2 linked regions of the Danio rerio genome follow. The protein of the gene in region 2 interacts with the protein of the main gene of each other region in a biochemical or structural test. Links are inferred from orthologs where the notes say so. Each region holds a gene or a part of one and is shown on either strand. Other genes may lie near its edges. The genes, in order: sf1 and tcerg1a.

The links.
Region 1: the proteins of tcerg1a (region 2) and sf1 form a complex in vitro, tested with the Homo sapiens proteins (3 studies listed by BioGRID). The link is inferred for Danio rerio from reciprocal best matches to the Homo sapiens genes TCERG1 and SF1.

What each region holds. Positions count from the first base shown.
Region 1 is NC_133182.1:22,788,439-22,792,741, forward strand, and holds the start of sf1 (splicing factor 1), read left to right. Parts: upstream 1-1,393; 5' UTR 1,394-1,529; coding exon 1,530-1,776; intron 1,777-2,655; coding exon 2,656-2,784; intron 2,785-4,303. UniProt on the Homo sapiens protein: Necessary for the ATP-dependent first step of spliceosome assembly. Binds to the intron branch point sequence (BPS) 5'-UACUAAC-3' of the pre-mRNA. May act as transcription repressor.
Region 2 is NC_133189.1:58,547,117-58,551,567, reverse strand, and holds the start of tcerg1a (transcription elongation regulator 1a), read right to left. Parts: upstream 2,915-4,451; 5' UTR 2,906-2,914; coding exon 2,859-2,905; intron 1-2,858. UniProt on the Homo sapiens protein: Transcription factor that binds RNA polymerase II and inhibits the elongation of transcripts from target promoters. Regulates transcription elongation in a TATA box-dependent manner.

The sequences.
Region 1 (4,303 bases), on a different chromosome or scaffold from region 2:
CTCTTACACTATGGACAATTTAGCCTACCCAATTCACCTGTACCGCATGTCTTTGGACTGTGGGGGAAACCGGCGCACCTGGAGGAAACCCACGCAAAGGCAGGGAGAACATGCAAACTCCACACTGAAACGCCAACTGAGCCGAGGTTCGAACCAGCGACCCAGAGACCTTCTTGCTGTGAGGCGACAGCACTACCTACTGTGCCACTCCTTTGCCCGTTATTAATTCTAAGGGTTCGAATTATACAAATGTAGAATAATTAGCAAGGTCAGGATATAATGTAACTCAGTAGTGTAAATGGGAAAAAAATAAACTATAATACAAATAAAATCTAAGTTTTAAATGTAATTTTATCACTCATATAGACATACTGTATCTACCAAAACCTGACCTGCACAGTAAGAGTAGATAAGATACAGCTGTGTATATGTATATCATCATTTTTTGTGACACTGTATACCAATAATTAACATGTTTACAGTACTGTGACGGTTGGATTTAGGGTTAGGGTAGGGTTCATTTATTTTCATGAGCTAAAGGGTTCATTTAATCCCTTTATTTATCGGGGGTCGCCACAGTGGACAGAACCACCAACTTATTCAGCAAATTAGCAATTCCAGCGTTATGGATGTGACATTTGCAGTAAAATCTCAGAAACAATGCTCATCAAAAGGATAAGAGTTGGCTCATTATAAAACAAAAATGATTGATTTAATTTAATTTGACATTTTTCCATTTACTAGGCAAAATCTTCGTTATTGATGTGACAGATGTGGAATTGCCACTCATGTGATTTTGGTAAGTCAAATATAATAGTTTGAAAACATTAATGGAGACATTTTTGAGTATTTTAAAGCACAAAAACCCAGAAACAGTTTTGCTATTTTGTCGAAATCTTTTTTATTTATGGCAAGGTTGACATTTGCATGGAATTGCTCCTATGTTTTACACAGCGGATGCCCTTCCAGCTGCAACCCAATACTGGGAAACATCCATACACTCATTTATACTCATTTTCTCCACACAGAAAGGCCAACTGCCAAAGCTGGGGCTTGAACCAGTGACATTCTTGCTGTGAGGCGACAGTGCTAACCACTGTGAAAAAAACACTGTCGCCCTAATAAAATATGGGAAATGTAATTTTCGTTGTCTGCCAGCCATAACCGTATCTGATCTAGCTACAACCTGACCACACCGCACAGAAAGAGCCAACCTATCCTGGAACATATGGCCGGCTTGGCGACCAATGAGAGGTAAGTAAATTGCTCCGACGGAAACACGACAGACCTTAAATGATCCAATGAATGTTCCCCAAACACAGATTGACACGACTATCGACCAATCGGATATTTCTAAATTGACGTCAAAGCTCCTTTGTCGATCTCAGCGGACGCCATCTTATCCAGCGGGTGACAGAAGAAGGTTGCGTGGTCGGAGACACGCGTTCGTATCAATTGATTTATCAACAAAAGAAACGGATACATTCTGTGCAGATATCGAACCACGAAGAAGCCCCTGACGCCCAGAAATGGCAACGGGAGCTAACGCAACCCCGCTTGGTAAGCTGCACCCGAGCATCGGCGCTAAGCGAGGCTTTGACTCTGGCCCCGGTCCGGGGTTAATGCCTCCGCCTGGGCCTTCGGTGCCTTTCCCGCTGCAGAACTTCCAACCGCCACAATTATCAAATCCTGGGTTCCCGCAGTTTCCCGGAGCCGTGAGCTCTGCGCTCTCAAACCCTATCGTAGTAGGACAGCAGTCTCAAGCGGGAGGCGGAGGTAAACACCGTGGACAGGCCTTGACTCCTTCAGGATCAACGGCCTCCATTTATAAAAGTAGAATGGCTGGTTACCGTCATTAATAGTCTTACTTGTTTTTACAATGCCATTGCATATTAAAAATCTTTGGAATGTGTAATTATTTAACATGTTCATTTGGGGGATCAAAACTTAATCTAACGTTACACGTTAAAGTATTGTGTTGTATTTAACACTGAACTCTGAAATGAAATATGATGCAGAAAAATCTATTGTTTTGAAATCGAGCAGTGTTAACATTAGACAATAAAGTGCACACTGTTTTTTTTAATATAGATTTTTTTTTTTCAGTTTAGTGCATAATATGGTATAAAAAGGGTTGGGAGCTTTTACACAGCAAATGTACATGCCCAGACTGAACAAAGATGTTTATTACATTGCAGTGTTTATATGGCTAACGATGTTAAGTTAATATAACGTGGCATTTAGCAGCAAACTGCTTGCTTAAACTGCTAAAAACCTTAGAATGCTGTCTTAAATATTTCTTAAATTATTAGTATGTTTCGTAATATCACTTTTATGGCAAAGAATAAGTCCTTTTCCAGGTCTTTAAAGTAAAATATTTCAACATAAACAAGAGAGGCAAAGGTGAAAAATTGATGGAAATTTCAGACGGCACTTAAGAGGTTTTTGCATCTGAACTCTTCATATTTATAATTTCTTTTTAATCAAAGAAAAAATCCTATGTTTACTTTTTAAAAGTGTAATAATTCAATAAATTAAACATTTTGCATCATAAAGACATGGTGAACGTTTCTGTGAAGTTTTGGTCTTAATTTACAGGCTTTAGACATCCACAAATCAGACATAATGGCTTAATTTGTTTACATCCCCTGTCAGATTTTGGACAGAAGAAACGGAAAAGAAGTCGCTGGAGCAGCGAGACCCCTGATCAGAAGACTGTTATCCCGGGCATGCCCACCGTGATCCCTCCTGGGCTGACTCGGGACCAAGAACGAGCTTATATAGGTGAATATCTAAAATTTGCTATTACAACATCTGTCAGAGTCATAGAGTTTAGGTTGCAAATAATTTTGTATGTGAACGGGGGAATATTCTGTCTACACCCAAACAAGTCACTTTTTTTTTTTTTGTCCCAAAACTTGTTTATAATTTTTTTTCTCACAGTTTGCACATCACATGAAGGATGTAACTGCTTAATTTCATTAGTCTGACTTCTTTGCTGATACAACTGATGTCAAATTAGTGAAAGAACCTTTATGTTAAAGCAACAGTTCAAAACGGTCATCTCTATATGTCTCAAATGACTTTATAGAAATGGTCTTCTCAAAGAAGTCAATCCATCGAAATTCAGCACTTTGCCCCATATTTACTAGAATGCACTAACTCCATCAATGTGCAATGTGAGTGCCATTTATTTATTTTTGTTCGTTTAGGACACACTGAGGTATTGGTAGCACTGTCAATGTTTGCATATACCATCTGATGTCCATTAGCAAGAACCCACTGTGTTTTCTGATGTTGCTGCTTGCTGTGAACTGTCTCCAGCTGCAGAACTCCATCACTGCTCATGTTTACTATGCAAAAAATGTCTCGTCCAATTCGACTGCGAAAGCAATGCAGGTCCGATACTGAATTGCTAAAGTCATCTCCATCCCCTTGTGTCTGAAAGCAGTGTGTAGTAAATTGCTTTCTCATTGCTGTCAGGCACTTGTTTTGCAGTAGCATGTGGTGTAGTGTTTGTTTCGACTATAATGTGACCTAGACCTACATCTCTTTAACTACTCCTCCTTTTGACAACTGACACCTCATGTCTCTTACCCACCATCAACCTGCACCATTCAATGTGGGGTCCGATTCTCTTAAGCATGTCATAGAGAAATGCATGTGAAAGCCCATGAAATGCTTCCATGAGTGATGCAGTAATTTGGTTGGTTACAGGTCAGTCTTTGGGTTTGTACAGGCTGATTTGGTTGGCGTGGCTTGAGGCCTTAGTAAAATAAATTGCATGATAAAACGACCTGCTAAAGGCTGATCTGTTTGTCTTAGAACTTATTTATAAATATTGGATTTTACTTAATTGAGTAGTGTTTGTAACTACTGGTAAGTTGCTGACGTGTCAATAACTTGAGTGTTGAATGTAATTGTTTATGTATTGGCTTTTCACACCCAGTGTTAATGACTATTTTTTTAACATAGTAATTTAATTTCATTACGCTGGTGTTATTCTATAACTTTTTATATGAGGATGCATTTGCTCAAGCCATTTAGCCAATATGTTTTTTGATTTCTTCAAACACAACTTTTTTTCCCCCCTCGACAGGCCTTCATGTTTTTGCCACCTTTTTAGCTCATGTGAACTAATGTTTTTAAGGATATGCATAATGTGAATTTTACTTCTCAGAGTTGGTGGCATAAAATGGAAAGCCTGTTGCTATGATCTTTTTCTGAAATTGTTATTTGCTGAAATCCCTTCAGGTTTCTGAAATTAAAATTGGCTGAACATTTGAAACTTGAATTTCTGATT
Region 2 (4,451 bases):
ATGTGCAACATCTCTATCTCTATTGGAGGAGCCAGCATGGTTAAATACACTGTAGTATTTCCTATAATAGTATATTTATATGTGGGTGTCTGACGACTGAAAACAGATCTGGCAGCAGATATCACAGCCTCTGTTTCTCTTCATCTTGCACTTTTCTTGTTATCTTTATTATTATTTATTTAGGATGTGTTTTCACATTCTGACTCCAATGTCTGATTATTAAATCATTAAAATGACAATAATTAAATGAAATATTCTTAAGAATAAAGTATGATGTGTTTTTTGGAAGAGTGCACTTGCGTTGTGATGATATTATATTGTCTGGCATTATATACCAGACACTGCGATATCGATGCTGAAACTAACTCAGCAGGTAAAGGGGCAGATCACACAAAAATCAACATTTACTCACTATTTACTCTCCCTCAAGTGCTTATAAACCTTCATGAGTTTCTGTATGCTGTTCAGCACTAAAGAAGATATTCTGAAGAATGTTGTAAACCAGTAACTAATGGCATCCACAGCAGAAAAACAAATATGGAGGTCGATGGTTACCAGTTTACTTCATTTTTCTACATATGAAGAAACTTTAAGAATTGAATTAGGCCTGTGCAATATGCTGATATATGCAGAAAAGGTTTTATATTATGTGCTATTCTTTATGTCATGATATACATTGGTTACAGTAATACAATTTAATAATTTACATGAGTGAAATATGACCCTTAATTACAGGGATGCAGACAGAAAGGCGAATAACAGCATCATCAGAAGGCTGCAGTCTTGAAAGTTTGCATTTTATGTAGACAAATCTTTTGTTTTTATGTTGGAGCTGTAATCATTCGTTTATCACAATACTTGTGATATATCATACAACAAAAAACAGATATCATGACAGGCCTATATATATATATATATATATGAGCAATTCCAGTGTTATGGATGTGACATTTGCAGTAAAAACTCAAAACATAAACTCACAGTGAAAGCACATGATAACATTATACTGAAACAGCCGTTTATATTTTCCAGAACAACTGGCCACAGAGTTAAGGGAGCAGAAATGATCAATCTGTAGACATGTTTTATACTTTAAATGAGGAAAATAAACATGCGTTATGGATGCGAGCAAAAAAACGTCTGCATACAACATGCTTTGTAGAAATTCTGTCAATTAATCTGCACAACCCAAAAGAAACAATGCTAATCTTAAGGAGAAGAGTCGCTCACTGTAGAATAAACATGATTGATTTTATTTATTTAATATTTTCACATTTAAGAGAAAAAAAGTGTCATTATGGATGTGACAAATGTGAAGTTGCCACTTGTATGACTTTGCTAAATCAAATAGATTAGTTTGTACTGTAAAATACTTGTCCAAAAAAAAAAAAAAAAACGGTTTCGGTATTTTGAGGAAAACTTAATTTTCTTCATGGCAAGGTTGACATTTGCACGGAATTGCTCGTATATATATATATATATATATATATATATATATATATATATATATATATATATATATATATATATATATATATATATGTATATATATATATATATATATATATATATATATATATATATATATATATATATATATATATATATATATTTGGCATGGGACGACTCAAGGTATACCATGGTTTGGGAAAGTCAAGGTTTTAAAACCATGAAAATTTTCCGCTATCCCGTTCCTAAGGTATAAATAAGATTTCTTTTTTTTTTTTATTAATTTTTGTTTTGTTTTTAAGGACAGCAGTATCTCCAGCAGAAAATATAATCAAAGATTCTGTTTTAAACTGGAAAAATATTAGTGTTTATAAAAAAACAAAGACTGCAGAAGTGAATGATTCATTAAAATGATTTAGCCTGACATGTTTACTGCTCTAAAATATTTTAAATGTTTCCCAAAATAGAATATATATATTAAAAAAGGAAAAAAAAGTTTAGTTTTTTAACCAGAGATTTAAAAAGTAAATATTTCAGAGCAGTGAGCACAATAACATGATACTGTGAAACCGTGATATTTATGTCCAAGGTTATCATACGGTCAGAAACTAATACCAGCCCATGCCTGATACATATCACCATAAACATGACAGGCAGCGAGTCATATCATAGCATCATGTGCAGCTCTACTGTAGCACTGAGGAAAAATTACTTAAATCAAATAATTGTTGTTAGGAAACTGGCAATGTGACAATTAAAAAAAACACAAGTGGCTCAAGGAACATGTCCATGTGTTGAAGGAAATCCTGCATATCCCAAAAGCGTCAACAACTCATTTTCAGCCAAAAGCAAAGTTCCAGCCTTTTCACAGCACATCACCTGCATTAAAACACCGTAACGCGACACTGTAATCCGTTACTTTCGAGAGAAACTCTCCCCAACACTGTTAATAACAGATACACACACACCATAAACACGCTGAAGACGAGCAGAACACACACTTTAACCCCAGATACTGATGATGGAGGAGTGTCTGCACTGACTCCTGCATTGCTGAAGGTGTTCATTACAGTACACCTGAATCTGAAGCACTGACTCCATCATAAACACACTGTCCAGCTGATCTCACAGCCACATCACACCCTCTACACACTGACAGGGTTATTTCTGAGACTCGGTGTGTGTCCTCAAGCTCTTATTCTCGGCGGAAACTGCGATATAAACACAGTGAGGCGACTGCTGCTGTGCTGCTTTCATTGTCCACCCTCCGACGGGCCAGACGAGGCTAAAACCCACTCAAATCTGCCTTATTGGAGACGAAGCCCAGAGGAGTTTCGGGATAAACTAAGGCGAATGATAACCGGGGGTCTGTGTTTATCTGAGAGGGAAAAATAAAGCGAAAACTGCACCTGTTTGCAGCCAGGCCGATGCCTTCTGCCTCTGTGTGCTCCGCCATAACGGAAATGCCACAAAAGTCCCCATTTCCCGCTCAGCGGTTTTCAAACTTCTGAAACATCGTGACTTTTATTTCCAGTATGAATTATTTAACTTAACTGGTAAAAAATATGCATTTTTCGGTATAGTCCAGTAACTTGGCCAACAGTTTTGGTTACCAGAACGTTCCTATTTAGTTAAAGTTATTTTAGTTATAGTTTTAGTTTAATTAGTCCCAAAAATAACCTAAATTAAAGGGGAAGATTTGTGTTAGCTGGAATGTTAGCACGTTCTCCCTCTCTTTATCCAGTTTTTGATTTATTGATTGTTTTTACGATTTAATTATATTTCGTTTTTAAAAACAATCAAAGACTAAATATTAATAAATGGGGTAGATCTCCTTAAAATAAATCCTGCCATCACTTACTCAACCGTTAACGTTACATGTCCCAAACCGGTTTAATTCCATGTCTCAGTTGAACACAAGTTATTTAAGCGTTGGAAACCAGTAACGTTAACTGTTGACTTCAATAGAATTTATTTTCTTATAATGGATGTCGATGGTTACCGGTGTCGAATGATATTAAGAATGCTTTTAGAAAAATCTTTATAATATATTTCTGTTGTGGACATAAAGGGTTGGAGAGGTTTTAATGAGTTAATTTGTATAGGATAAGAGTCCCCGTGCCGGAAGTGCTCAGACACGTGTGTTTGTGTGTGTTTTCCGCTCCTCCATCATGGACTCCTCAGTGCACACTAGTCTGCTGGAGAGGATAGGAGATGTGGTTCTTCCAGGCGATCTGCTGTTCTCCTTCAGTCCTCCTGAAGCCGGAGACGCGAACCCGAAAGCGGACAGGCTGATCTGCGGCCCGGGGCTGCGGCGGAGCGGAGCGGAGATCCGTGTGTGTAGAGCAGGAGTCCTGAAACACAAACAACCCAACATGTACTGGGTCAACTGTCAGCAGAGACGGGTCAGAACACACACACACACAACATGTGCCAGCACACACTATTGTTCAGAAAATTCACTAACACACACTACAGGGCAGAAAACACACAATAACACACGCTACTAGCCATAACACACAACCTAACACACACTACTAGCCAGAACACACAATACCACACACTACTGGGCAGAAAACACACAATAACACACACTACTAGGCAGAACACACAACCTAACACACACTACTAGCCATAACACACAACCTAACACACACTACTGGACAGAACACACAATAACACACACTACTGGGCAGAAAACACACAATAACACACACTACTAGGCAGAACACACAACCTAACACACACTACTAGCCATAACACACAACCTAACACACACTACTGGACAGAACACACAATAACACACACTACTGGGCAGAAAACACTCAATAACACACAATACTGGGCAGAAAACACTCAATAACACACACTACTGGGCAGAACACACAGTAACACACACTACTGGGCAGAACACACAGTAACACACACTACTGGGCAGAAAACACACAATAACACACGCTACTAGGCAGAACACACAACCTAACACACACTACTGGGCAGAA